7 linked regions of the Mus musculus genome follow. The protein of the gene in region 7 interacts with the protein of the main gene of each other region in a pairwise test. Links are inferred from orthologs where the notes say so. Each region holds a gene or a part of one and is shown on either strand. Other genes may lie near its edges.

Region 1 (4,208 bases), on a different chromosome or scaffold from region 7:
CCACCACACCAGGCACCTCCTGCTGTGCTATCATTGTTTGCCAAAGTGCAGAATTAAAAAAAGTCAACATGGCAAGGACTTAAAAGTGAGACTTCACAAGGTTAAAAAAATTTACTCCAACTTTTATGTCCACCTGACATTACCTCGGCTCCCCAGGCCTCCTTCAAACCTCTCAGCAGCCACCCAGTTCCATCTATACCCTAGCATCCCACAAGGTCCCACCACTGACAGGTCTCATGGCTGAACACACCTGACCAGCAACTCCTCAAATCACCAACTTCAAGTCCTGTCCCTGTCTACAAGACTTTTAGCTCTGCAGAGAAACATCCCAGCTTCCTCCTACGACCTCCCTTTTTGCCATAATGGGGAAAACTGCCAGCTTCTGTGTCACCTTCCACTGTGGCATCTGCCAATAGCTTCTGCAGACCACCCCCAACCATCACCGCTAAGCCTGGACACCTCTTAGGATGTTAGTTTACAGGAATTCTACTCAAGGTTTGCTGACAGCAGAGACTGCTCTCGGAAGCTGAAGATCTCGGGAAACCTCTGCAAGGTGGGACATGACTACACTCACACCCCACTACCCCTGGAGCAATGTTTTGGTTTAACCCTGGGTCATCATCAGGCTTTTATTGAAACGGGTTGGGTGAGTTTAGCTGCTTCTCTTTTGCCCCTAACACTTTTACCTTAATGGCAGTGATGGCGAAGGCTATTTTCCGCCGCCCATCGATGTTGGTGTTGAGTACTCGCAAAATGTGCTGGAACTTCTCAGGGATCACTAGAGACTGAAAGAACACGGGCAGTTATCAAGACAGGTTACCCCCAAACCGGGAAGGTGGCCGAGGCAGGGTTGGATTGTCTGCTAAGTTCTTACACAACTCCTCAGTCACCGGGGCTCACCCCTAACGCGCTCAGGCGCGGGAAATCGCAACCTCTGACAAGAGGGTGGACGTCGGCCGCGGCCCCCAATTCCCTGGACAGGGGAAGCGGGAGGAGCCCACACACAGCCAAGCTCCTGGCAGCTTTGCTGTGTAAGAGGAGCGAGCATTCCTCGGGGCCCCGATCCCCGGGATTTCACGTCTTAGGTCGTCCCCTCTCGGGTCACACTCCATCGCTCCACAGAGGGCTGTGGGCCCGCAGCATGGGGCACTCTCTGAGTCCTGACGGAAATCTCTCCCTGCCCCGGCTCCGATGTCGCAGGATCCCGGCGCGGATTCCGCTCTTACCATGGCGGCGGCACAGACGGCGGCGTGTAGGCCTCCTGTGGAAGAGAGAGCGGAAGTGACGTATAAGTCTTATATAGATTCCTGGCGGAAGAGGCGGGGCTATCCCCGGAGGTCCACTTCCGGAAATTGCTTCTCTCCCCGTCTCCCCCTAAGGGAGGAGTTGTATTGAGACAGTTTTGGAAGGGACCGGAGCTATAACTTCCGGTTCGGCCTTCTCTGTCGTCGTACCGTTCTTGTGTGGGCGCGGAGCGAAGGTTCCGGAACAGAGTTGTGTTCGAGACGTTCACCTTCCTGTTTGCACTTGACCGAAATGATCAAAGCCTAACCGGAGAGGCTGGAGCCGATCGCCTTAGCTCAAATATCTGGGACCCTTTTTTGCTCCATAGAAGACATTCCAGGACTTGTAGCTTTGCTTCGGGAAACGGACTTTCTGAGACTGACAGCTGCCGGAAGTCGGAAGTGAAGCTGCGGGGGAATGGCAGCCGCAGCGACCATGGCGGCCGCTGCCCGGGAGCTGGTGTTGCGGGCTGGGGCCTCAGATGTAGAGGAGGAGGAGGGCCCGCTGGTGAGAGCACGGGGCTGTAGGTCCTCCGGAGTATCGTCAGGTTGTCCCTCTCCTCAGGCGTAGGCTCCATTTAGACAAGAGGTTCGGAGCCGTCTTGCCACGGGTGATGGTGACCTAGCCTTCGTAGGGACCAAAGTGGCTGAAACCCAAGCCCCAGGGACAGTGTCAGCTTCCTGTTCACGATTTTTAGTAGAAAAAAATTTTAGTGTTTAGCGTAAAAGGTTAAGAACGTGGCCTCTGGAACCAATTTGCCCGGGGTCCCACCTCCAGCCCCACCGCTTGAAAGCTATGCTGTGTTTTCGGTGCCAAAACTTCCCACACCTTTACAGTGCAAACGCTGTTAGGACATACCTTATAGGTGGTCGTTAGGATTAGCCGAATGAGCATGTTAAATGGTGTACCAGACACAGGGGTAAACACTATGTAAGCTGGCGATTTTAGCCTCTGGAATTCCCTCAGGGATCACCTGGAATAGCTGGAAACTGAGGTCCTAAATTCAAAGGCAAGTTTGACTAGTCCTAGTTTTTTCTCATTTGAACAACTCCAGCAACTCCATGAATTGCCTGATATTCTCAGTAGCCCAAGATTGTAGATTTGAACGCATCAGAATCTTTGACCCACTTACTCCGGCACCCCCCACCCCCCAAAGCACCCCCCACCTCACTTGGAGGATTAAGGATACCCGATTATGTTTTGTTTCCAACATCTCTTTCTGTATCCCACATTCATTAACCTGTCCCTCTTCAGGGGGGGGGTTCTGGACTCCAAGAACCCCTACAACTTGGAGAGTTGGACATCACCTCTGATGAATTCATCTTGGATGAAGTGGATGGTAAGTGCTGACATGGGGTGGGAGCAAAGTAGACCCCTTTATTCTTTAGAAATATATTACATGACCCCAGTAGATTACCCTCTATGGTTTCTTTCTTTTGTATGTGTGTGTGTTTTTATTTTTAATTTATTTTTATTTTTTTGGTTTTTTTTCGAGACAGGGTTTCTCTGTAGCTTTGGCTGTCCTGGAACTCACTCTGTAGACCAGGCTGGCCTCGGACTCAGAAATCCGCCTGCCTCTGCCTCCCAAGTGCTGGGATTAAAGGCGTGCACCACCACCCCCCGGCTGGCTTTTTTCTTAATGTACAGATAAAGTTTAATCCATGAGTTGAGAAGGCTTAACTTCTAATTTAGGAATAGTAAGAAATGAACAGTACGAGTCGAATAGTCACAGCAATACACTATAATAAAATCGCAGCATCACTTTTTCCCCTTTGGGACTATTGTTGAGTAAGAATACAGCCTGGTTGAACATACATACGCAGACAGCTAAGACTGAGTGACTGGGAGGCAGGCACAGCACACACCATAGATTAACGGAGCAAAGATGTTTCAGATCCAAGCCCAGGCGAGAGGTTCTCTAGCTTCTCAGAATGCCACACATTTTAGATCTTACAAGCCACACTTTGGAAATCCCCTTTTAATATTTTCCATCTGTGGTCGAGTAGACCATGAGGAGCAGAAACAGCAGGAAGTCCCACCGGGCAAAGCAGCTGTGCCTATAACTGGAGAGGGTGGGGGCTGGGAGGGAAGGGGAGATTGGTGTGGTGTGCGTGTGCCCAGTGTGGGCAGAGGGAGGTCTGGCAGGGGACACTAAATATAAGCTTGTTTCCAGTTCACATCCAGGCAAACCTGGAGGATGAGTTAGTGAAGGAAGCTCTCAAAACGGTGAGGCTCTCCACTGGGTTGATCTCCCCACCCTCCCTTCCTTTTGGGGTCCCCTCAGCTTAGTGGCTCCCCTCTAGCCAGTCACGGAGTCTGTACTGGTTGTCCTTCCCCCCAGGGTGTGGATCTTCGACACTATTCAAAGCAGGTGGAGCTGGAGCTGCAGCAGATTGAGCAGAAGTCAATCCGGGACTGTATCCTCCAGCCTCACAGGCACAGGGCCAAGATGGCTGCTATTGGCATGGGCTCTTGGGGGCCTGTGATGCAGGTAGCCCTCAAGGGGATGTCTTCTCTCTCAGGCTTCTGTCACTTTGGGGAGGACCTGGGGGCAGGTACTGCAGATCGGCAGAGCTCTGTGTTCAGTGTGAAGCCCTTGACTTTTGTGGGTCAGATATCCAAGAGAGTGAAAACATAGCGTCTCTGCACAATCAGATCACGGCCTGTGACGCCGTCCTGGAGGTGGGTGGCCCTCACCTGTTGCCCCAAATCTGACTTAATTGCCTCTTCCTCCTCTTCCTCCTCCTCCTCCTCCTCTCCTTCTTCTTCTATCAGTATTTTTTGTCCCCCTTGGACAAGTGATGATCTCCCATCCTCCTGGGTTGCTGGGTACCAGGGATTTGCACAGAGACTTGGTTGACACACCTGTCCTTGTTCCCCGACAACCCGGAGTCATGCCCACAATGTTTCCTGCCCTCCCCACA
Region 2 (3,980 bases), on a different chromosome or scaffold from region 7:
TCTCGCTTCATTCTCTCCTTCAGCCATGACAATCAAGAGCTTTTTCTTTTTCAGCGTTTAGTCAGTTACCTTTCAGCATTCCCCCAAAGCAGCCCGTCGTTTGTTTGTTTTTTAAACAAAAAACAAAAACAACGAGAAACGCTAAGAATAAAGTCAGAGAAATCCAGCCGTCGTGAAAGCAGGCGTCTGGATGGCACTGGGAATCACACGTGCTTTTTAAAGTTGATGCTTTCAAATCGATCCACAAGGCGGATCACCCAGGCACCCTCTCCTACACGAGGGCAGTCTTCTGACAGAGATTGAAAAGAACAAACTTGGAAAGTTGCAATCTCACAGAGCTGGTTAGCTGGACACAGAGTCCCGGGGAAGTGTTCTCTGTGTCGCAGGGTCAGCGGATATCCTCACGTTGTGGAGCTGTCAAATCCGTGCTTGGTCCCAAAAGGCTGGTAAACAGTAGAAGGTTCTCCAGCCATTCGATTTTTTGTCTGTGCAGCGGCTGGTTCTCGACCGTTCCCACCCCGCCCTCCTCCGACACCAGTCTCCGCCCCCCTCGGCTCCTCCTAGCGCCGCGGCAGGGCAGCGGGCGGGTGCTGGCGGGGTAGGCGGTAGACCCTGGCCCTTAGCTGCTGGGGCCCGAGGCTCCGGTGCTCCGGGGGAGCAGTGTCCGCCAATCACAGTGTCAGCGGCGACTAAGGGCGGCGTCCCCAACCCTGCCGGTTCTTGTCCCCCGGGGTACGCCGATGCTCCTCTTACTCCTCTGTCCTCGCCCACCTCCGCCAAGCCAGAGGGCACCCCGCAATCCAGCAGTCATCGAGCCCAGGGCTGCACGGCTGAAGCAAAGGGCCCCAGGCACAGAGCCCGCCCCTTCGCCCAGCCCCGTCGGTGGGGATCGGCCCAGAGGGCGGGAGCAGGGAGGGGAGACGGGGTCCTCACCCCCAGCCCCTCCCCTGTCCCCGCCCGGGACCGCCGGGAGCCGCCCCTGCCCCATGCCTGCCTCTCCGCCCAGGCACACGCGACCCGCAAAGACAGCCATTGGAAGCAGCCCCGCCCTCGGGCAGAGTACCTCCGGACCCCGAGTCCAGCGCGCCACTGACTAAGACCGGCTGCTGCGCATGCGCGACGCCGGCCAGGGCGCATGCGCTTTCCGCGGTGTTGTCCTTTCTCGACGTTTGGAGGCGCTGGTTTGAAGAAGGGGAAAGAAAAGTAAGGAGTACAGATGCCCGGAGATGTTTATCGAACAAGAAAAGCCGAACAAATAAAGGTGCTCTATAGTATTCCAAGTAGAAATGGGATAGAATTATGAGTGACAGCCAAGCAGGCAGGGCTTTGCGTTGGCTTTTGGGAAATGTAGTTGTAATGCTAACTACGCGCTCTGTTTGCGACAGAAACTACAATTCCCAGATGCCACCGCGACACTTGTCTTTGCCCGCGAACCAACGGTTCTGGAGGCCGTGGTTAACTGGGAGCGTCCATCTGGTAAGCGTGGTAGGCTTGGTTGTGACCCGTTCAGTGAAAAAAAATTTTTTTTTTCCCCTCGGAAACTCTGGTGCCGACGCCATCTGGGATTGCTTCCTTTCCGTCGTGGCTTGCCGGGAGAGAAATAGTGCAGGTGCTCAACACCTTTGGTTGGGTGACTGAGGCAAGGATTTGGGGATCATTGTTTGGAAGGCCAAGGAGCAGCCTTAAGACAGGCAAACTGGAAAAAAAAAAAAAAGAAAAGAAACAAAAAAGCAAAACAAAAAACCGACGCCGCTGCTTCTGCTGTCCTCTTGCACATAGGCCCGTGCTGAATGGATTAGGAATCCCTAAGCGTTGCCATTGCACCTTTGCCCTTACAGGGATCTGTTTTGTGCTGTCTTTGCTCAGTCAGATAGCATCCGAAGGGGATCTTTGAAAGCAAGTCTCTTGTGTCTGAGACTGAAAAGAACTTCAAATGTCCTTAGGTTTGGAAGGTTCTGTATGAAAAGAAGCCTATAAAAACCTCCTAAATGTGTTATCTTTGAACGATATGGTCATTTCTCTAAAGGTGTTTTTGGAAGGTTTTTAATAGACTGGTAATCGGATTCGATTTTAATCCTTTGTTTTACAAAGTAAACATAGTCATAAAATATTAATCTGGAACTAAAGAGATGGTGCAGTAGTTAAGAATTGTTCTTATACAGTACTTAAGTTCGATTCTCAGCCCCAACTTGGCAGCTCACAGCCATTCATAACTTTAGTTCCAGAGGATCTGATGACTTCTAACCTCAGTAGACACCAGGCATAAACCTGGGGCACAGGCATACATGCAAACAATACACTCATTGAAAAATCCAAAACCATAAAAATTAATGAGGCTTTTAACATGAGAAAAGTGTAACAATAACTTTTATTCTCCTGCTGTAATTGCTGTCTGGAGGCTTACTGCCTCCATCAGCTAATCTAGGCCCAATCCTGCAAGCTTCTAGCTTCTGTAAAGGCCTATAGTGTTTCCAGCTTTTGAGACTTCCTGCTGAATAAGCTCACTCTTTCTAGCTCTTTCTGAATTCTTGCTCTCTGGTTCAACTCAGCTGTTTTGGCCCAAACTCCTCTGACTGATTCAAACTGGCGTCTCTTGCTTCTGACTGAATTGCTCTGCTTGGCTTCAAACTAACTTTAGCAATGTGTTCTACTCTTCTGGCTCCTCCTTATTCTCTGGCTCAGCCTGTCATGTCTAGCTTGTTCTCTCTTCACCCTGTCTCTGTAAAACTCTCCCGGTAACACTGTCTCTTTTCCTCTCTCCCTCTGTCTGCTCCCTCCTATGTTGCCTCTCTCTCCTCTCTCATGAGAGTTGGGTAGATCCTAGTCTACTGAATCTTTTTCTGATTCATCACTTTGTTTCCCTCTCTGTTAGACTTCACTTTCAAACAAAGCTGCTTCCTTCTACAAACTTTGCCTTCATTGTTTGGGATTAAAGGTGTGTACTAAGGGTGTATCTGTGTTCTAACCAGAGTAGCTATGTTGCCGAATTAAAATCCCTCTACAGAAGAGTGAGAAAGATACCCCTCATCTTATTAGAACACTTATGTGGCCAGGCGGTGGTGGCACACGCCTTTAGTCCCAGCACTTGAGAGGCAGAGGCAGGCAGATTTCTGAGTTCGAGGCCAGTCTGGTCTACAAAGTGAGTTCCACGACAGCCAGGCCAGGGCTACACAGAGAAACCCTGTCTCGGAAACAAAACAAAACAAAACCAACCAAACAAACACTTATGTGTAAAATACAGTTGTAATACTATTTGATATTGTTGGCTAGAGGAACATTTAGCCCAGTCTTAGAAAGTCAGGGAAGTCTTCATCCCAAGGAAAATGAAGGCCAAATGAATAGCATAAGGCTTCAGTCACCAAGTGCCTTCTGTTCAGAAGGATGTCACTGAGCTTGTATTTTAAGATAGTAAATAAGTAATGTAGAGTATATAGCAAAGGAAACAATGACAGCCAGTTAGGAAGGAATGAAAGGTGCTTGGCTGTGGGAAAAAAATCTTCCTTTTCAGTGGGAGGAGGACCATTGCTGGATGGATGTGCAGGTTGCCTGCCACCTCAGGACAGCTGTTAGAAGATGAGCTTGCAGGGTGGAGTTGCCCTATTCAAAGACCTCCAATATTGAGAGGGTCTTTTAGCCTCAAAGCTGAGGGTGGGGGTTGGGTACACAGGGCTTTGCTTTTGGGAGTGGGTGACACAGACCATGGGCAGGAAGAGTCTGCACTGGGAGGGGGAGGGGTGCAGAGTTTTCTCTGCCTTGTTCTGGGTGGGCTTAATTCTCCAGAGTGTCACAGTTGACCAGCAGCCCTGGTTTTTATTTGGGGGTATGGAGTGTTTTGTTTTGTTTTGTTTTGGGTTTTATTGTAGGCTCCTCCAGTTACCTTTCTTCAAGTTAATTTATATACTTTGCATTCTTTGATGCAACAGCAGTTACTATTTGTAGCAGAACTAAAGAAAGGAAGAATTATGGAAATCAAGGGCTCT
Region 3 (3,500 bases), on a different chromosome or scaffold from region 7:
ACACGGAGAGCAACAGAGCGATGGTTGGAATCTCACCTGCTACGGAGTACGATGTCCTCCGAGTCTCAGACGTCAGAACTGGATTTCCCAGAGCCTGACCCTGTGATGCAGCTTTTGCGCCAGCAGCTGCTGGGAGCTGAGGAACAGATGCAGGACATGCAGGACAAGGTAGGCGACAGAGAGTGGAGTGGCAGGCTGCTGCTACCATCAGTCTCACTTTTCCCTGGCCTGTAGTAGGGAAAGAGCTAACAGAGGAGCCCTGCACTGTAGGAGGGTATGGTGCTCTGGGGTCTTGCCTGACTGATAGAAGTATAGTCATCTGTCAGGGGATGACATTTCAGTCAGAAAATGGACCAGATATTTTGTCCCATACAGTTATGTGGATGCTGAAAACTCTTATCCCTTCTGATGTTGTAGTGCAGCATATTATTGAACATGTGTGTGGTGCTAGTGTACATAGGCCTACTGTGTGTGAAGCTGCCAGCTGTGTGCAAGTATGACACATATCATTGTTACATAGTAACGTGACGTGAAGAGAGTGCTAATAGTTTATGTTTCTACCACATTGTGTTTTACTGTTATTTTAAAAGCCTTCATCCTTAAAAACAAAGAAAAAGTGTTCATTATAGAACAGGATACCAGAACGGCGATGGTGGCTCACACCTTTAATTTCAGCACTTGAGAGGCAGAGACAAGCAGATCTCTGAGTTTGAGGCCAGCCTGATGAAGTTTCAGGATGTCCAGGACTACACAGAGAAACCCTGTCTCAGAAAACAACAACAAAAACAAACAAAAAGGCCAGGACACCATATTATACTGACAGCATCTTCAGACATCTCGTATCTGCTGCCGCTATTAATGGCACCATTTTCATTTGCGCTTAGTTCACTGTCAGGGTATATATTAGCATCCCAAGAGCAATAAAACACAGTCACAAACACACGTGCTGTGCTTATCTAAGTTTGTGTAAGTGTACTCTATGATGGTCACACGATAATTCAGTAGTGTAATGACACATTTCTCAGCATGTGTCTACGTTGTTATATGACACCTGACTATATTCTAATTAAATGAATGACATATTTTCCCAGGTCATGGTGTGTGTGTGTGTGTGTGTGTGTGTGTGTGTGTGTCTCATCTACTACAAATCAGCCCATTGCATTTCCCACACAGTGTAAGAACTTGTATTGTGAATTGGAAGAGCTACAGCATCACCGCAGAACCAGTGAGGAGGAGCAGAAGCGGCTGCAGAGGGAGCTCAAGTGTGCCCAGAATGAGGTGCTCCGGTTTCAGACCTCCCACAGCACCCAGGTGAGCACTGCCAGGGGAAGGGAGGGCAGCAAGGCTCAGAGTCACCGCCTCCAGGTGGACATCAGGAGTGAGGCTGACCTCTGCTGGCTCTTACCCTGTGACCAGGACCCAACAGCATCACCCAGAGCCCCTGCATATAGAAGCCACATAGGATGGCATGTAAAAAGGTGTCCTTGTTGAGTGTCTTCATCACTGAAGAAACCCAGCCATAGACCCAGAGAGCTTCTTCTCAAGGTCTCTGCATCAGAGAAGTATCACAGAGGCCTGGATAGGGCCCACGGCTTCTTGAGAGTAACTGCTCTACCCGCATCCTCCCTACTGCAGCATGAGGAGCTGAAGAGCAGGCTCTGTACCCTGCAGCAGAAGTATGACGCTAGCCAGGACGAGCACAGTGAGCTTCTGAAGGTGCAGATGCAGCTCGAGACTGAGCTCCAGCAGCTCAGACTCCTCAGATGCACTCCTGTAGAGAGCCAGAGTGAGAAGGTAACCGTGCCAAAGGCAAAGGGACAGCGGAGGGGCCACTAGCACCGCACTGAGGTTGAGGGGCTGTAAATAACAGGAGCTCCAGAGCTAGGGATACAGCTTTTGGTAGACTGCCTGCCTGCCTAGCATCATGAGGTCCCAGGTTCAGTCTCTAGCGCTGAAACAGAACAAAAGGAGACAACTGTTTATGAGCCTAGTGTTGTAGAACATATCTGTTATGACAGAACTGAGAAGCTAGAAGCAGAGGAATCAGGAGTTCAAGGCCAGTGCCAGCTACATAGACTGAGTTTCATGAGATTAGATTACATTTGTTTACAAACAAGCAAGTCAAAAGAATAACTGTCTTCTTAAAGTTCTGCGTAAGGAGGGGGGCAGGGGAGGGGTAAAGCAGCAAGTGGAAGGGAGGAGGAAGACTCTCAGGTGGTCAGTGGCTGAGTCAGGAGAAGAGCAAGGTCATAAAACCCAGCACCACTACCCAAAGCCCCCTGCGTGCAGGAGTTGATGTGCCGGCTCCAGAAGCTGCAGGCCCAGCACCAGTGCAGTGTGAATGAGAAAGAGCAGCTTCTAGAAGTCCAGCATCACCTGCACGACAAGCTGCGGTGCCACGAGTCAGAGGTGCATCGGCTCCGAAGCATGGTGGACTGCTTGCGAGAGAAAAATGAGAAGGTAAAAGGAAGGCCAGGCCAGGAGCACATAGCCAGGCAGGATCTTCTGTGAGGGTAAGCAGAGTGGGACTGTTGGAGTTCTGTGGAGGAGTTGCTGGTGAAGTGGACCCAGGGCATGTAGAAAGAGCTGCTTGTGAGATAGCCACAGTTTCCTTTTATTTTAAACCAGAAAATCAGTCTACAGACAGGAATCCTGTTGCTTCCTTCAGGAGGAAGTCTCCCAAGGTCAGGGTGTCAAGCCTGTTAAGGATAGGTCTGTTTGGTTCTCCCTGGCTGGGATGAAGTCAGGGTCGGAAAGGTAAGGGCGGAAAGATCAATAGTGAGGCGGTAGTTGTACATGGCATGATGGCTCTGCCTTCCTTACCCAGAATTCAGGGATACACCTCCAGCTTCAGGAGATGAAGGGATTGTATCAGTTCAGCAGGGATGAGCTGGAGCGCCAGAAGCACATGTATGACCAGCTGGAGCAGGACTTCCTGCTCTGCCAGCAGGAGCTGACAGAGCTCAAGTCCAGCCAGTCCCTCTGTGAAGAGAATGGAAACTGCTCAAACAAGGTAATTGTACTTCAGAGTGCTAAGGGCTTCTGGCCAGCTTGGGAGAGAGGAGAAGCAGACAAGGTCGCCCAACTGAAGGTAGAAGACAAAGGCAGACCCATGTCTGCTGGCCTTAAAACAGTTCGTCTTGAACTTGACTTGAATAAGAACCATAGCTTAGTAGATGAATGCGTTTGATCTCAGGCAGTATGAACATGTGGTTTTTATACAACCCCATGTATATATGCATTTCTACAGTGGTATTATAACTGTACTGATGTCTCATCATTTGAAGGGAGGCACATACATACACATGTATAACTAAACTAAAAAGAATAGAGCCAGATTTCTGAAACAACTTGCAAGTGATTTTAAGGATATGGTCTGTACCTTGAATGCTGATTTGAGTATTAGAAGAACCAGTGCTCTTTTAGGATATAGTCAGACTTGAAGTAAATTCCCAAATCTTGAATTTTGCTTCAAATTAAACAAAATGCTATTCTTGTTT
Region 4 (4,200 bases), on a different chromosome or scaffold from region 7:
ACAGGGTTTCTCTATATAGCCTTGGCTGTCCTGGAACTCACTTTGAAGACCAGGCTGGCCTCGAACACAGAAATCCGCCTGCCTCTGCCTCCCCAGTGCTGAGATTAAAGGCGTGCGCCACCACGTCTGGCTTGAGCATTTCCTCAAATCCAAACCTGAGATCAAGGCAACTGAGAACTTGTGTGCAGTGGCTGATAGTCCTTAAAGACTTTGCTGCTTCTATTTACATTCTGACTTGTTTTGTGGAAAAAGGTCTCATTATATAGATCGGGCAAAACTCAGAGATCTGCCTGCCTGCCTCTGCTTTCTGAGTGCTAGGATTTCAGGTGGGCACTATTGTGCTTGGTTATACTTGTAACTTGACTTTGTAATTAATTACTGACTTCTTGAAACAGGAATCTGCCCATGTAACCCTGACTGTCCTGGCTCTCTATGTAGCCTATACTAGTCGACAGTATTCTTGCCTTGGCCTTTGGAAAGTTTTATTGGCTTTTCAGTTATGGTTGATGATCATTTTGCTTTGGTTTCTGGACTATTTTATTGGCGTTAATTAAAAAAAAAAGTTTTAAAACAAGGTCTCAGTATGTACTCCTGGCTGTCCTGAAACTCACTATGTAGACAAGGCTAGCTTGAACCCAGAGATCTGCCTGGGTGCTGGGAATAAAGGCGTGTAGCACCAAGGCCAGCTAGCTTTTTATTTTTACGTGGAGTCTGGGAAATGGAACTTAGGTTCTAATACTTGCAAGAGTGACTGAGCCCTTACATTTTGTTGTTGTTGTGTGTGCGCGTGTGAATGTGAGCACATGTATGCACCCACACGATACATGTGTGCAGGTCAGAGGACAACATTCAGGACTATGTAGGTTCCGAGGATCTACTGCAGGTCTTCTGGGTCCTAGGGTTCGAACTCAGTCGTCAGGGTTGATGGCAGTAGCCTTTGTTTGTATTTTACAGGCAGAGTCTCCACCTTGCTGTAATTCTCCTGCCTCAGACTTCTGAAGGGTAGGCATAGAGGTAGAAGGTACCTTGCCCGACCTGTCAGCACTTTCCGGTTTTGCAGGTGGTCCGGCGGGACTCCCCAGAGGTCTTGGGTTTTGAGGGGGGGGGCGAGTGCTCAGGTGACGTCGGCGTTTGGGTGACGTCAACACACACACACTGGCGTGAGAGCACGGAAGCAGGACTGCGAGCTGCGCACACCTGCCAGAGATCTTTACCGGTGTTTCCACGGTCGCCCTGTCTCCGCAGGGGGTTGGCCTGCCGGGGGCGGGGCTAAAGCGAGGACTAGCCAATTGGATCTCCCGATAGACCGCCCGCCCACTACCGCGGATCTAGCGCATGCGCACGGCCCCGCGGCCAACCTCTCCCGCGGGGGGCGGTGCTGACGCTCGCGCCGACGCGCCGGACGTCGGGCACGTTGACGCCGGCGACGCGCCGGGCCCGGTTCTCTGCGCTCGCTAGTGTCCCGCGGCGGCGGGCCGGCCTTCGTGACGAGCGGGGCGGCGGGCCCGGGGGCCGGGCGAGGACGCAGCCGCGGGGCTGCGTGGGTCGGCCCGCAGCCGGCCGCCGCCCGAAGGCCGCTTCATAGCCCCGGAGCCGCGCCCGCCGGCCAAGGTGAGGGCGGGTGGAGCGGGCCGCGCTGGGTGGCGGGCCAGGGTCGGTGGGGCCGGGTCGGCAGGGTCAGTGTGCGGGGGTCAGCAGAGCCAGCAGAGTTGCGGCTAGCCTGGCAAAACGGGTTGATAGCAGTTAGGTCCGAGTTCGCTTAGACTGGCCAGAGTAAGTGAGGTTGGGGGCAGTGAGGCTGTGGGGTCAGCTGAGCCAGGCCGGGGCAGCGGGTGCTGCTCAGATGCACCTGCAGCGCCTTCTGCTTCATCCTCCACCCTGTGCCCTGACAGCATGCAATCTCTAGTTCCATCTCACCTTTTCCTCCTCCTCCTCCTTTTTTTTTTTTTTTTAACCTAGCCCTGTTGTCCCGACTTCCTAGATTCCCAGTGTGGGTATATTTTCTCTTTCTGTTCTTTTCCCCTGTCTTTGACTGTGAACTTATGTAAGTTGGGTTGGCTGACCAACCGTTACACAGCAGCAGGCCTTTGCTAAACACTTCTGTCCAGACTTTAAAAAGCCAATCCAGTTGCTTTTTCCGCTGATCACCAAATATCCAGCCCCACAAGTCAGGGTGCCTGCTAGTCCTTCCCAGGAGCTGACTGCACACATTCCTGGAGGATGCTTGGGTCCATAGTGCTGGTGTTTTGTCAGTTTCCAGTCTTCTTCTGTGGTTGAGGGACTGTTTGGAATCTCTCTTCCTGAGGAAACTGTCTTCAGCTGTTAAATGTGGATTTTAAACAGACCCCCACTGGTTGGAGGTGAGCATCCCAGCTCCTCTTGCTCCCAGGACTGTCTCCCCCAATCTGCTCATTATATTGACCTGTGCATGCTACTTCCCAGAGTGTGTGCATCCAGAGTGGATGATCGTCACGGATAGCTCTGGGGCTGTCAGCCTTTTTCTCATTAGCCACAGGTGGTGCTCAGAAAGCTGCAGGTTTGTGGAAACTCTTGTTCTGCACCTACTGATTGTGGTCTGTACCGTTCCTTTTTCAAGATGATGTGCGAGGTGATGCCGACCATTAGTGAAGCAGAAGGCCCTCCAGGAGGAGGTGGGAGCCATGGGTCAGGCTCCCCTTCACAGCCAGATGCTGATTCGCATTTTGAGCAGCTCATGGTTTCCATGTTGGAAGAACGGGACCGCCTTCTGGACACACTAAGAGAGACACAAGAAACACTGGCATTAACCCAGGGGAAGTTGCATGAAGTTGGTCATGAAAGAGATTCTTTGCAGAGGCAGCTCAATACTGCACTTCCACAGGTATGCCCATCAAACTGAAATCAAGGAAGGTTTCTGCCTTTAAATGTCTGCAGGACTGTCTTGTTAGTGTATTAGCTTGCTGGCTGCTTTGTGTAACCACTTGGGAAGTGATGGTTCTGATGTTTTCTGAGCACTGGTAAAATTCTCAGGAATTCAATTTAGGGGAAAAAATGGGGATCCACCAAAGCCATGTGACCACACCACTCCACTGTCATACCTCTTTGGGAAACTGCCTAGATTTAGGAAAGCACTTAAATGTTTTTGACAGGGGGCTATGAAGCAGTTGAGCTGTGTTGAGTGTCCCATTCTGTCTTAAACTTGTCCTTGTCTGCTGTGGATCTGTGAGGAGTGGATCTCAGGGTTTTTTTATCTTATCCCTGGTTTATGTCTTGTGGACTTCCAATTTCCTAGGGAAATCTTGTGGATAAATAGAACTCATTTCATGGGAAAAATTTATACAGGCTTTCTCCAGAACATCTGTGAGCTGTAACTAAACTTTGTTTCAGGGGAGAAAGGATTGAAAATTGAATCCTGAGGCTCCTCTTCCCAGGCAGATGAGACTTTCAGAGCTTGAAATACCTACTGTGTCCTTAGTATCACATTTAGATTGGTATGCTAGAGCCTCCTCTTTTGGAGTTAAGTGGTATAGGAAGGAGAAGGCAGTATAGCCAGCAAAGCCCAAGGTGAGAGGCAGGCATGTGGAGCAGGGGTTGCTTAGATTCCTGCTGACAGCCCACTTTACTGGTTCATGATGGGCGTCTCCTTGGTGCTCAAGGAATCTGCACTTACGCTCTTGTGGTGTGTCTGCAGATATCAGTTAGCAAGTCAGTAATGAGTGCCTTGATGCATCTCTCAGCTGTAAAGTCAGTTCTATGAGATGGGACTAAATGTTTGAATGTCCTTTTTAGAAACAGTAATTTGGTGTTAGTGTTGTGTGCTGAGGGGTTTTGTTTGGTGACTAGAGAGTTGTCTTTTCTTCCTGGAGTCTTAGGAATGAGCAGGTTAATTAGGTCAGATTCCGTTGCCTCATACTCAAGAGGCTTTCAGGAGGTCATGAGTCCTACTTGCTCTACTCTACACTTGGGTTTGTTGCAGCTCAACTCTGCATCAGTGGCTGGTCAACATTGAGGTTTTTGGAAAGAACAGGCACAGGGGAGGCAGAGCTGGTGGGTGTTGTGGGTAGTGAGTTTCAGGCAGTGAGAACTGTCTCACCTGTTGCTAGGTTGTGCTGGCTTGCTGCTCTGCAGTGCCTCATCAAATGTAGGACATGCTTGTGTCCACAGTTACATCATATCTGACCCGAGTCTAGTGTCACAGAGTAAACTTGTTCTAGATAATTC
Region 5 (4,295 bases), on a different chromosome or scaffold from region 7:
AATACAAATCTACATAAGTTAATAAAGAAGATCATAAAGAACACATGATAAAATCCGACTAGAGTTCCTTAATCTACACAGAGACAGAGCTGTTCGCAAACTCCTTAGCAGCAAGTGCTGAAGGTGTCCCATTTATTTACTCGCATCTCCAGATGTCTCTATGAGTAGATTCATGAACAGCATCCCATTGAGTGGGAGTCCTGCCTCCCTAATAGCTGGCTACAAGTGGTGCCACTGCCTACATTAATACCTAGGTTAGAAAAAAGCCAGTATGTTCTTGAGAAACAACTGTAAACTCTGTTCAAAGGTAGTTCTTCTAGGCTGGCTCTGGGGTACACTGCTTACGTGGCACGCACGGAGGGCCTAGGGTCAATCCCAGCACACCAAACCATTTAACATGTAAGTCAACAAAATGGGGAAAAGATGCTCAAAAGAGCAGCCATCATTCTTTCATGGGCATATTAATGAGCTAGCAGGATTTCATATCTTCCATTTGTACTTTATATGGCTACTTATGATGCAGAAGCCATGGCAAAGTCCACTGTGATAACAGCTATGAAAGCCTCTGGAAAGTAGAGAAGAAGTTCCAAATGGAAATCAACAGTAAATTAGCCCAGAGGTTAGGGTTTGTTAGACTTGAAGATGTGACACCTTCATCTGGATCAGAAGTTAAGAGTGCCACACATAGCACCAAACGTATTTTGTTTACCACTCAGTAGACCGAGATAGTACAACTGCTGGTTCCTGATAACCTCCTGGAGACGGGGGTTTGGCTGTTGGGTAGACTAGGGCTCTGGATTGAGGAGAGCTGAAAACGTTAATCTTGTGTGAGAGCCTCAGTTCAGGTCAACAAATACTAAATTAAGTTTCTATTATGATGTGTTATATATGATGTTAGACATGGGAGACTGGCCAGTCCTTGAAGGTTTTGGATTCTTCTTAAATATGGCAAAGAAAAAACTCTTGCTTGGATTATATGAATTGCTTTCATAGAAGCAATCGCACGATGGTTGCTTCAGTCCTCAAGTATCAAAGTAGGTCATCAATCCTTATGGGGCAAATCTCAAGTAGGCTAAATGTCTAACAAATTTGTCTTGTGGACATGGAGAAATGTGATGGCAAATCGGCATTGTAACTGCTAGTCAGCTTCAATTATAGCAGTACAGGGATCTATGTGGGCTTAGGTCATTTCACATTAAGAAATCAAGACAGACAGGATTAAAAAAACCAAAAAAACAAAAACAAAAAAAAAAACAAAAAAACAAAAAACAAATTAGCATCTCTCCAAAGAGCTACCTGTTTTCTTTTTCTAAGTATGGATCATTCAAGCCCGAATTTTTCCCCCATCAGATTCAGTTGAATTGTGAACAAGAGGCGGTGTTTAGTAGCCAACTCAAAAGAGATATTAATTTTCCCAAAAAGTTTGGAGTGGAGATCATTATACAGAATAGCACAAAGGATTCCTGCGGATCCCTCAGCATGGTGGTTAACAATGTCTACTCTGGGGTCTGCCGTGAATACCTAGTCTCCCCAACAGTATCTTCTTCAGCCAGAGGTACCTACTGCAGCACCTTATGCTATTGGGAGAATTAAAGGAGCCTACCAGGGTGTTGAGGGCCGGCCTATCAGTGTCCCCAAACACAAAATCCTGCTATGAATGTACAAGAAAATGGGCCACTGGCTTCAGACTGGGGGCACTCTTGAGATTGTCTCTGGAGATGCCCCGATGCAAGAAAACCAAGGCAGGATTATTTTTAATTGAAAACCCGAAAGAAAGATAAGCGCATGATAAGAGCTGCCCTCGAATAATTTCATTTAGCCCCCGATGAACGATGGCTAAGTAATAAATTAAAACACAAAACAAAACAGTTTAATACCCAACTGAGTAAGCTGTAAACTGGGATGCTAAGAAACTGAACAGTGTCTACAGGCTCCTCATACTCGGCTTTAGGGAATCCACCTAAATCTTTTAGCCTCTGCTTTCTGGAAAACGGGACAAAAAAAAAAAAATTTACTCTCACAGAGAGATGGCGCGGGTACCGCACAGCAGCACTGCCCTCCCACCACCTGCAGCGGCTTTGCAGACTCTGCGGACCATGAAAGGCGATGTGGGGCAGGCAGGGCAGCACGACCCGGACCCAGGCCAGCAGCTCGCCTCTAGAGCAGGACAAGCTGGTCCACTCCTGCCCACCTCAGAGGTCCATCCGCTCATACCCGGCAAGCGCTTTCTTAAAGCACCGAGCATCAGCCTGTGTGGCGCACCCGCAGGGCCGTGGGCCGCGCGCGCTTGCTCTCTGCGGTCGGGATGGGCGGATCCGTTGCCAGGTGAGGGCAAGAAGCACCGGGCCGCGGCATCCCAAACCTCCAGCCTAAGGAACTTTCTAGCACTTTCCACACCTGCCACCCCCGGACTCCCACCCCAACAATCCCGCCCCCCCCTCCCGACCGGCGACCTCGCCCTCACCTTGCTGGAGGTCCCGGTGGTCGTACCACGGCTCATCCTCCATCTCGAACTCCTCCACTAGGTTATCTGCCAGCATGTCGCCGGGGACGTCCGGGGGCAGCGGGCTCTGCCGCCGCCCTGCCGTTTCGGCCGCTGCCCCGGGCTCTCCCCCGGCCCCGCCGCCCTCAGCCAGAGCCACCCTGGGGCGGGACACGCAGGTCCCGCAGCAGCTCTCGCCGCTATCCCGCGCCGCCCAAAGGCCGGCGCCCTAGCGAGCGCGCCCCGGGTGGCGCCGGGAGCCGGCTCCTCACGCCTGCTGCCCGGCCCAACGTGGCACTTTGGCAGAACCCTCCCAAAGCCGGGGAGACGATTCAAACCCGGGAGGCACCTTGACCAATCACGAATGAGCCGCCTATAGAGTGACAGCGACTTCAGCCAATAGAATATCAAAAAAGGTCGCGGGTCCGAGGACCATCAGCCAATAATAGCTTAGGAAGGAACAAAGGAGGCGGGGAAAGACGAAGAGGGTGCGGTCGGCAGCCCCTCCTCTTTTGTCTGCGTCGCGTCTCCTCAGTTGAGTGCACTCCAGTTCCGGAGTGTGGAGGTGGCTTTGGCGAACACCGGGTGCCGAGGACTACTAATTCTGGGCACGGGTCATCATCTTCCCACCCGAGGGTTTCGGATGCGGGCCAACTCTCCTTGGCTCTGCCCTCGGTGATGCTCGGAGGGAGACTCATGGTCCGTCGGGAAGTTAAAGCCGAGAGAACGCTACTGAGTGAGAGCTGCTCCTCAATCTTGGAGCCCTGGCCTTCCAGGGGCCTGGCTATGAACTCCTAAAAGGGCAGTCACCAACCCCACTTCACACTCCAGAGTCCCGGGCTGGCCAGTGGAAGCCGCCTCCCCTGAGAAAAGTTGCCACAGTTTTGCATAGAATTTCTTAAAGGTTCATAGAGCCCAGGATAAATACCTAAGATCAGGCATTGCACTTGGTGGCCAGCTTGCCGGCGTCAGCTTGTTAACACAGCCGTAACTACTGTTTCTTGGGTTAAACTTTTAATATATTTGGGTACCTCACTTAGGGAAACTCTCAGAGGGCAGAAAGGTCGGCGCAGATGTTTGGGATGTTATAACTGATAGCATCTACAGAGGACGGGAGAAGAACTGTGACAACTGAGGGGGGGAGGGGATGTTATAACTGATAGCATCTACAGAGGACGGGAGAAGAACTGTGACAACTGAGGGGGGGAGGGGAGTAATTACTCAGGTTTGGCAGTAGTGATTTGGTAGAAACCTCCTGAAGTTAACTCCTTCACACAGATCCGGAGTGTCACCCGAACTAAAGTGGAAAGCAGTTGAAAGTTTGCCTTATCCAAAAAAAGCACCAGTTGTGGCCTTAAAATAGTGTACTCAGATTACTATGGCTTAAAACAGGAGAAATTGCTAGGAAGAAGCTACAAATCCTCAGAGATACTTTTATTTCTCTGAGATCTCGGGTAATTTGGAGGAAGGAATACTTCACCCTAATTTCTTTTTTCAGTGCTAACGATGCCTTAGGCGTGCCACTCTCCATCATTCTTGTGGGTCCTAAGATGCTCCTTTTCAGATCAGTGTAACATGCACCTGTTCCTGGGAACATGGTCTTGTGAAGGTCAAGAAAGCCTCCCCATTGTGAGGTTGGTTTGTTGTTTGTACAGAGTCTCACTGTGCAGCCCCAGCTTTGCCTAGCACACTATGTAGATTAGGCTGGCTCTGCCTCCAGAGTGCTGGGATAGAAGGCACACAACCATCAAACCCTGTCCCTACAGGAATGTTGTTCTGGCGAGATTTTCCTCTTCATTCCTTAAGAAAGACT
Region 6 (4,046 bases), on a different chromosome or scaffold from region 7:
AAAATTTTTTTTTAAGTGTAACCTAGTAACTACCAAACAATTTACCAATGGGCAAAATCTTAATTTTTGATACCTTTAAAGTTAAAGAGTGTTTCATTCATGTTCACACTGCAACGATGTTCTTTTTTTTATTTTTTTTCATCTCTGAGATGGAAGTATCTCTTTCTTGCTATTTTTAAATCTCAACCACAATTCCTACATGAGTTTAGGCTGATACAATGTCAGTACAGTAGAGTTCAATCCTGCACATCAAAAGTTCCATGAACACAGGTCCAAAAAGTATCCCTGATGCTGTGTCTCCAGTGCTCTGCACATGCTCAGAAAATATAGGAATTGAGAAAGAATGGACATTTGCTAAATGTTTTTTGAAGTGAACGAATGAATGAGTGAATGAGTGAATACCTTGTTTATAATGTTTCAAAGTTCATTGCACTTCATAGTGCTTAATCTGACTGTGAATGCAGGAAAAATCACTCCTTGTCCAAGTTCGTGTGCTTTCTTGCATCATGTCCTTAGATGGAACTTACATCTCTGCCCAGGTAGCCAACAGTCCTCTCCTCTATGCTAAAGGGAGGAAAAGACAGCCACCCTCCCTCTGTTATAAGACCCTCCTGAGATCATGCACTCTGGAGCCCAGCTATGCTAGAAAGAAAGACCAGTAGCCCAGGCCATTTCTGAGCTGCCACCACAGCCAGACATGGGTTGGTTTGGGAATTCCATCATATATTAGGGAGGCCAGGATTCACCAAGGGCAGGGCCAAAGGTAAAAGAGAAAATAAGAAACACTGGTAACACAAGCTTTAAACAGATTTTTCCAAAACTCAGCACACTGGGGTGGGTTCTCAGGCCCCTGAGTCTATTCCTTCTCTGTGCCAATCTATGCAATGACACATGTTTGAGCAAAGTATAGCCTCCTGGGTACAGGTAAGCACAGCCCAGTCCTTAGCTCCAAGGAGGCTTCCAGGCTAAGGCACCACTCCACTTGGACTGTACTATTGGGCTCCAAAATGGGGGGGAGCTTCCAGACAAGGACTGATTTCCATTTCAAACTGCATTCTGGTACTTTGTACTCCAGCACCATTGGCCGATCAATATTTAATGCTTGGAGATTCTCACTCTGCGGGAGTCATGTCAGGGGACCCTGAGAGCCAATCTGCTTGAGCTTCTGCGTGATAATTATTCATGGGCTCCTGCCTCTTGCTCTTTCTCTAGCACGGTCCCACTCTGCAGACTCAGTGCCTTACTCAGACTCCTCTCTCGCTCTCTCCGCGGCTACAGCTGGACCCTTCTCCTTTGCCTTCGCCACCACTCCGTGCGTGCACATCCCTACAATGGCTAAAACAGCAATGGGTAAGAATCGCGTTTTGCTCCCCACGGGCTCTATCTGGAGCCAATCTCTCCCTTTCTCTCTCGGATCTCTAAAGACATTAAAAGATATTTTATAAAGGGAAAGACATTCATGACAGGAACCGGGAAAGGTTGGAGGGAGCTCTAAGAGACCAAAGGGGGAAGGGTGTCTTTGAAAAACTAAAGTAAATGGTTTCTTTTTAAAAGATAGAAGCAGGTAAGTTTTCCTCCAATGGGTAGGAATTTTATTCTGCTTCCATATTTAAAACTAAAGTGTCCATCAGAGGGGAGGGGGCTACCTTAACGATTTGCCTTTAGTGAGGTGAAGGGACATTTCGGAAAGTGGTTTTGAACGTCCTATATTTATTCTGTAGTTTAAAAAGATAATAGGGACAGGAAGGGAGTGATGTTGGAATAAAAGAGAAAATGCAAAGTCAAAGCGGTCCCATCCTGGAGGTTTGAGAGAGGAGTGGGAACGGGGGAGGGGAGTGGGCACATTTAATGGTATTGTCTATCTTGGAAAAACCACTAGTCTTGGGGCGCGGTGCGGGGAGGTAAGGCGGCCGGAGGGGTGGGGTAGGACCTTAGCTCCTTTGTTTTAGGAAGAGGGAGGGGAAACAGGAGGAGGGCGTGGAGGGCGCGGGTGGGCAGCTGCAGGGGCGGGAGAGCGTGCGCGGCAGGGAGGGGTAAAGGGACCTGGCTTCCCAAGGCGCCGGGGTGGGGTTTCTTTGTGTGTGAAGCAATGGTGGGAGTGTGGGGGGGGGCACCTGCAGCGCTGGGCATACTATGCGGACAGCCCCACCCTGTGCAGAGTCAAGCTGTCCCCACCCGGACCCAGCTCCACACCCTCAGTAGAATGGGGGCCTAATGGGGAGCTCAGCACAACACTGAAAAACCCAACCCTGCGGGAACGGCAGAGCCCCGCCACGCCCCACTCACTCATTAGCAGCCTGCGTGCCTGACCTGACCGCTAACCTCAGCCGCTCCACCCTGGCCTCATTGTTCTTCGTTAACATATTTTTCAGAACCACATTAAATAGGATATTTAAACATAGTGGCAAAAAAAAAATCAAAAAAGGGAAAGAAGCAGGGGGTGGGGGAGCTATTCTGAACTCCTTGGGTCATTTCGGGGGGAGGGGAGGGGGCAATTAGGGAACCTAGAAGGGTATACAGAAAATAATACAGATAAAGATGTGTAAGGGTGACATAAAGCAAAAGAGGTCAAGGTCTTTAAGATGAGCCTCGTGCAATTTCAATTTTGTGGGTCAGACGGAGCCAAATCTGTAAAACCGCAATAGAGTCCAGTCTAGATCCAGTGCCATCGTTCCGAAAAGGTCCTGTGCTTGTTTCCCTAGGGTAGACAGCCTGGGAGGGGCCTGCACTGGGGAAGCGGCTAGAACCACACACACACACACACACACACACACACACACACACACACACACACTAGATCGAGCTACTGATGCAGAGCAGGAAAAAGGATATGGACTGGCTCCACCCTGCCCTGCCCCACCCTGTCTGCGGAGCCCTGAAGACTCAGGCTCCAGGCTGGCTCCCACGAACTTGGGTGGGGCTGCTGAACAGTCTGCAGTCCGGGCACCCCTCTTTCTAGCCCCGCCTTCCAGAACAGCCCCAAACCCCTCAGGGTGTGCACACATCTGCCCAGGCTCAGGGTCGCAGGACTAAGCCCCTCCCAGCGGATAGAGGCTGTGCAGAAAGGCGAGCCAAGCCTGGCCGCACAAAGACGCAGCCGCGCCCTGCTGGGCCCCTGGACCACAGAGGTGACCCCCTTCCCTGTGGTTCGGGAAGGTGTCCTTGCCCATGCAGAATCCAAGGACCTTTTTCCCAAGCCCAAGCCCATGGCCTTGTGTTCTGGGATAGAGACCCCACTGAGGGTCCTCCAATGGGGCGTGGCTCGACCCCACCCCTCGTTGCTACAACCAAAGCCAGTGAGCTTGGGGAGCAAGCACGTGGCGATCGCGCGTGGACCCGGGCCAGCCCTGCAGCTCTCGCCTTCCTCTCGGAACTGGGCTCTCGCCCCCACAGAGTATCCCAGGAGAGGGTTCTGCGCAGTGTCCTGAGCTACTCTCGGTTGCCACAATTTGCTATCAAGTCGCTTGTCCAGAAGGGTTCTGATGGGGTTTGGGGAGATTTTCCTGCTCTGTCTGTCCCACGGAGAGGTTTCAGCTGCAGACGACTGGCTAGTTACTCCTTGTGACCAGAATTGTGATTCCTTAGAAATCATCATGATTATTAGTCCAAGACTCACTTATCTCCTCTTAAGTCTCATTTGTTCAAAAAGTATGCTGGTCCCTTTTGGTACCGATTAACCCCTTGCCACTAATCTTCCTGATCATCTTTGCCAACCTCCATCCTCTTCCCATACACAACCACAAAACAATTCTATCTGCTTCTGTCCATTTCAGTTTCTATAAAGCAGATGCATTTTGACTTCCCGTTGCTGTGTTGTATGTTCTTGTGGGTGGGATGTGTGCGCTGGTACTTGCTAAGGACAGCCTATGCACCAGATGATCGCTGGGAAATTCTCCACAGAGAATTGTTTTTGTTTCAATGGGCAAAAATTATATATAACTGAGATGTTATGCCCCTCCACAAGAGGATACAACACATACATACATACATACATACATACATACATACATACATACATACATACGTTTATGCACGCATTTTTTATT
Region 7 (2,744 bases):
GCCTGAGGGATTCCCTCCCACACAGGCACACCTCCACTTCTGCCCCACAAAGACTCTGCCAGGGACACCATTCCCAGGTTAAGAGAAGCAATGGAACCTCCAGGGCAGCGAGGGAGGGACGAGAGCCCAAATCGCCCAAGTTCTGCTCACAAAAAGGAGGAGTCCAGGCCTGGGTGCTTTCACTTGTCATGAGCTCTGAAAAGGCCAAGAGGGGTCTGAGCCTTAGAGCTGGGTAGGAAAATATTGGAGTCATCTGACCTGCCAGCTTACTGTGACGGCAGCTTCAGATGACATCTTCTATGACTCTTCCGTTTTCAGAGTCTCCAACTTCATCTGCACACTGTCCGAGGTGAAAGCCCACAGTGCACCTACAGGTGTTGACTATAGAACCGCATGAGGGTCTGCACGCCTGCCCATCCATGTAAGACTAACCCACAAAATTCACAATTGCCAAGTGTCCGACGGCCTCAGCCCTGGGCTGCTCCGTGTGGAAGCCTTGCATGGACGAGGCCTGACTGGGCTGCTGCTCCTGTCCCAGCATGCCCAAGCACCGTGATCTCTAGGCAGTGGCAGGGGTGGGCTCTCCAGGCCCTGTCTGGCCTGCTGTTCCTGTGCTCGGGGCTCCCGAGCAGCAAGGAGCGTCTGTGGCCCTTGGAGAGCTGGCTGGTTGAGCCCCAGGACTTTCAACCCCTTGTTCCTTGGAGGCAGTGGTGGCCTCTGGCCTCCGCTCAGAGCCAATGTCAGTGATGCCCCCTGCAGTCAGGTCCTGTACCCTCTTGTTGAGGTCATTGCGCTCGGTCTGCAGTGCTCGGCACAGCTTCTCCAGCCGCTGGATTTTCACCTGCAGGCCCTCCAGCTCTTTGTCCCGGACGGTTTTCTAGGTAGAGAAATGAAGCATTCAGTGAGACGTTCACATCCTCAAGTCTGGGCAGCTTAAACCCAAAAGCTGGCCCATGTAGTAAACAGCCCCAGCCGAGGGCCAGAGGATGTATTCTACTTGTCTGCCAGATACCCTGACACACCACAGGCATCTTTAAACTGTCGATTGTTAAACAGGACCACGGACCACTCTCAGATCTCAAAAAAATGTGCAGACATAAAAAAGGTCCCCAAAAGGGCTCACTTGGATAAGTGCTCCTGGAAACGCAGCCCCAGTTCCCGTGTAGTGTCAGTGACTGAGTGACAGCAGGGGAAAAGGCCCACAGACCAGTCCGCGGCCCTCCACCCACCTCTTCAGCCATCTCCAGCAGAGCCTTGTTGCTGCTTTCCCACCGGGATCGATACATGGTGGTTTCTTTCTCCAGCTTCTTGATCTTCTTTGTCATCTGTTACACCACAGATGAAAAGAAAGGGTCAGAGATGGGCTATCTGCACGTCTCTGCCAACTGGGAGCCTCAAGTTAAGCTGACCACTGAGGGGCTGACAAGACTGCTTAGGAAATAAGGAGGTACTTGCTGCCGAGGCTAACGATGAGCTCCATGCCCCAAACCCACAGATTCAACTCCTGTAAATGGTACTTGGATAATTGCCATATGCATAGCCCATACACATACATATCTATTCACAATATTGTTTAAAAATATGCTGGGTGCCTTTATCCCAGCACTCTCGAGGTAGAGGCAGGGTGGGTATTTATGAGTTCAAGACCAGCCTGGTCTACACTGAGAGTTCCTGGGAAACCAGGATTACATAGAGAGACTACATCTCTAAAGAAATAAAATAAAATTAAAAAAAAAAAAAAAGCTACCATTGAAGCCTAGTAGAATGCATATTCTCTATTTAAAATTCCAGCATAAATAAAGAAATCAAACCAAACAATAATAGAAAAACAAACAGAAACTGTCCCCTCTGGCAGGAGAGGGAGCTATGGCCCCTTCTAACTACCTCTTGATATATAGAGTGCCTGTGAGGCTGCCAGGGCAGCTCAGGTCTGAAGGAAGCGGCCAGAACGCCCACCGTCCTGGCCAGGCTGAGGGCCTCCCTGTGTTACCTTTTCCATCTCCTGTTTGAACGTGGTGAACACTTCACTGCTTTTGGAAAGTGTGTTCTGGAACTCCTCAAACTTCTCCGTGTACAGGGCGAGCTGCGTAAGAAGCACAGGAGCACGATGAGGAGGAACGCGGACAGAGCCACTCTACTGAGACACCATCTCCTAATACCACACAAGCAAAGTCGTGCACAGCAAGGATGTGTTCCAACACGACAATCCTGCAAAGTCAGCCTTGGGAAGACGTCAGCATGTGGAGACACTGGTCTCATACAAAAACAAAACAAAACAAAACAAAACAAAACGAAGCATACACTGATAGGGCTGAAGGGACGGCCAGAGGTTAAGATCACTGGCTGATCTTCCAGAGGACCTGGGTTCAATTCCCAGCACCTACATGGAGACCACAACTGTCTGGAACTATTCTAACCTCTAAAGGTACCAGGAACACAAGTGGGGAAAAATATACATCCATGCAAAACACTCATATGCATATCAATACAGCAAAATAAAAGTAGACAGAATTGAGCTAGACCTGGTAGCTAACGCCTCATGCATCTGGGAGTCAGAGGACTGTCACAAGTTCAAGGCCACCAGAGAGCCTGGTCTACAAGGTAAGTTCTGGGTTAGTTGTAGCCACAGCTAAACTCAGAGACCTGTTCTTCAAAGAACAACAAAAATGCCTGGCATGATGGCACATGCCTACATTTAATCCCATTACTTAGGAGGCTAAGACAGGCAAATCTCTGTGTTCCAG

What was found.
Region 1: the proteins of Txlna (region 7) and Vps52 interact in binary tests that used the Homo sapiens proteins (3 or more experiments, as listed by UniProt). The two-hybrid records come from large-scale screens. The link is inferred for Mus musculus from reciprocal best matches to the Homo sapiens genes TXLNA and VPS52.
Region 2: the proteins of Txlna (region 7) and Cep57l1 interact in binary tests that used the Homo sapiens proteins (3 or more experiments, as listed by UniProt). The two-hybrid records come from large-scale screens. The link is inferred for Mus musculus from reciprocal best matches to the Homo sapiens genes TXLNA and CEP57L1.
Region 3: the proteins of Txlna (region 7) and Ccdc136 interact in binary tests that used the Homo sapiens proteins (3 or more experiments, as listed by UniProt). The two-hybrid records come from large-scale screens. The link is inferred for Mus musculus from reciprocal best matches to the Homo sapiens genes TXLNA and CCDC136.
Region 4: the proteins of Txlna (region 7) and Ppfia1 interact in binary tests that used the Homo sapiens proteins (3 or more experiments, as listed by UniProt). The link is inferred for Mus musculus from reciprocal best matches to the Homo sapiens genes TXLNA and PPFIA1.
Region 5: the proteins of Txlna (region 7) and Cdr2 interact in binary tests that used the Homo sapiens proteins (3 or more experiments, as listed by UniProt). The two-hybrid records come from large-scale screens. The link is inferred for Mus musculus from reciprocal best matches to the Homo sapiens genes TXLNA and CDR2.
Region 6: the proteins of Txlna (region 7) and Stmn2 interact in binary tests that used the Homo sapiens proteins (3 or more experiments, as listed by UniProt). The two-hybrid records come from large-scale screens. The link is inferred for Mus musculus from reciprocal best matches to the Homo sapiens genes TXLNA and STMN2.

Annotation. Positions count from the first base shown.
Region 1 is NC_000083.6:33,954,392-33,958,599, forward strand, and holds the start of Vps52 (vacuolar protein sorting-associated protein 52 homolog), read left to right. Parts: upstream 1-1,408; 5' UTR 1,409-1,701; coding exon 1,702-1,791; exon of another isoform or gene 1,792-2,293; intron 2,294-2,538; coding exon 2,539-2,623; intron 2,624-3,457; coding exon 3,458-3,510; intron 3,511-3,625; coding exon 3,626-3,701; intron 3,702-3,898; coding exon 3,899-3,966; intron 3,967-4,208. Other genes in the region: Rps18 (40S ribosomal protein S18), read right to left, coding at 687-785, 1,227-1,229. UniProt on the Homo sapiens protein: Acts as a component of the GARP complex that is involved in retrograde transport from early and late endosomes to the trans-Golgi network (TGN).
Region 2 is NC_000076.6:41,807,069-41,811,048, reverse strand, and holds the start of Cep57l1 (centrosomal protein CEP57L1), read left to right. Parts: upstream 1-1,180; 5' UTR 1,181-1,261; intron 1,262-1,385; 5' UTR 1,386-1,401; coding exon 1,402-1,476; intron 1,477-3,980. Other genes in the region: Sesn1 (sestrin-1), read right to left, coding at 1-27. UniProt on the Homo sapiens protein: Centrosomal protein which may be required for microtubule attachment to centrosomes.
Region 3 is NC_000072.6:29,410,075-29,413,574, forward strand, and holds part of Ccdc136 (coiled-coil domain-containing protein 136), read left to right. Parts: coding exon 1-168; intron 169-1,173; coding exon 1,174-1,311; intron 1,312-1,635; coding exon 1,636-1,794; intron 1,795-2,289; coding exon 2,290-2,460; intron 2,461-2,827; coding exon 2,828-3,013; intron 3,014-3,500. UniProt on the Homo sapiens protein: May play a role in acrosome formation in spermatogenesis and in fertilization.
Region 4 is NC_000073.6:144,550,930-144,555,129, reverse strand, and holds the start of Ppfia1 (liprin-alpha-1), read left to right. Parts: upstream 1-1,400; 5' UTR 1,401-1,611; intron 1,612-2,110; exon of another isoform or gene 2,111-2,332; intron 2,333-2,596; coding exon 2,597-2,860; intron 2,861-4,200. UniProt on the Homo sapiens protein: May regulate the disassembly of focal adhesions. May localize receptor-like tyrosine phosphatases type 2A at specific sites on the plasma membrane, possibly regulating their interaction with the extracellular environment and their association with substrates.
Region 5 is NC_000073.6:120,979,513-120,983,807, forward strand, and holds the start of Cdr2 (cerebellar degeneration-related protein 2), read right to left. Parts: upstream 2,801-4,295; 5' UTR 2,541-2,800; coding exon 2,465-2,540; intron 1-2,464.
Region 6 is NC_000069.6:8,508,281-8,512,326, forward strand, and holds the start of Stmn2 (stathmin-2), read left to right. Parts: upstream 1-1,246; 5' UTR 1,247-1,331; coding exon 1,332-1,350; intron 1,351-4,046. UniProt on the Homo sapiens protein: Regulator of microtubule stability. When phosphorylated by MAPK8, stabilizes microtubules and consequently controls neurite length in cortical neurons.
Region 7 is NC_000070.6:129,628,322-129,631,065, forward strand, and holds part of Txlna (alpha-taxilin), read right to left. Parts: intron 2,084-2,744; coding exon 1,991-2,083; intron 1,326-1,990; coding exon 1,230-1,325; intron 878-1,229; coding exon 560-877; 3' UTR 1-559. UniProt on the Homo sapiens protein: May be involved in intracellular vesicle traffic and potentially in calcium-dependent exocytosis in neuroendocrine cells.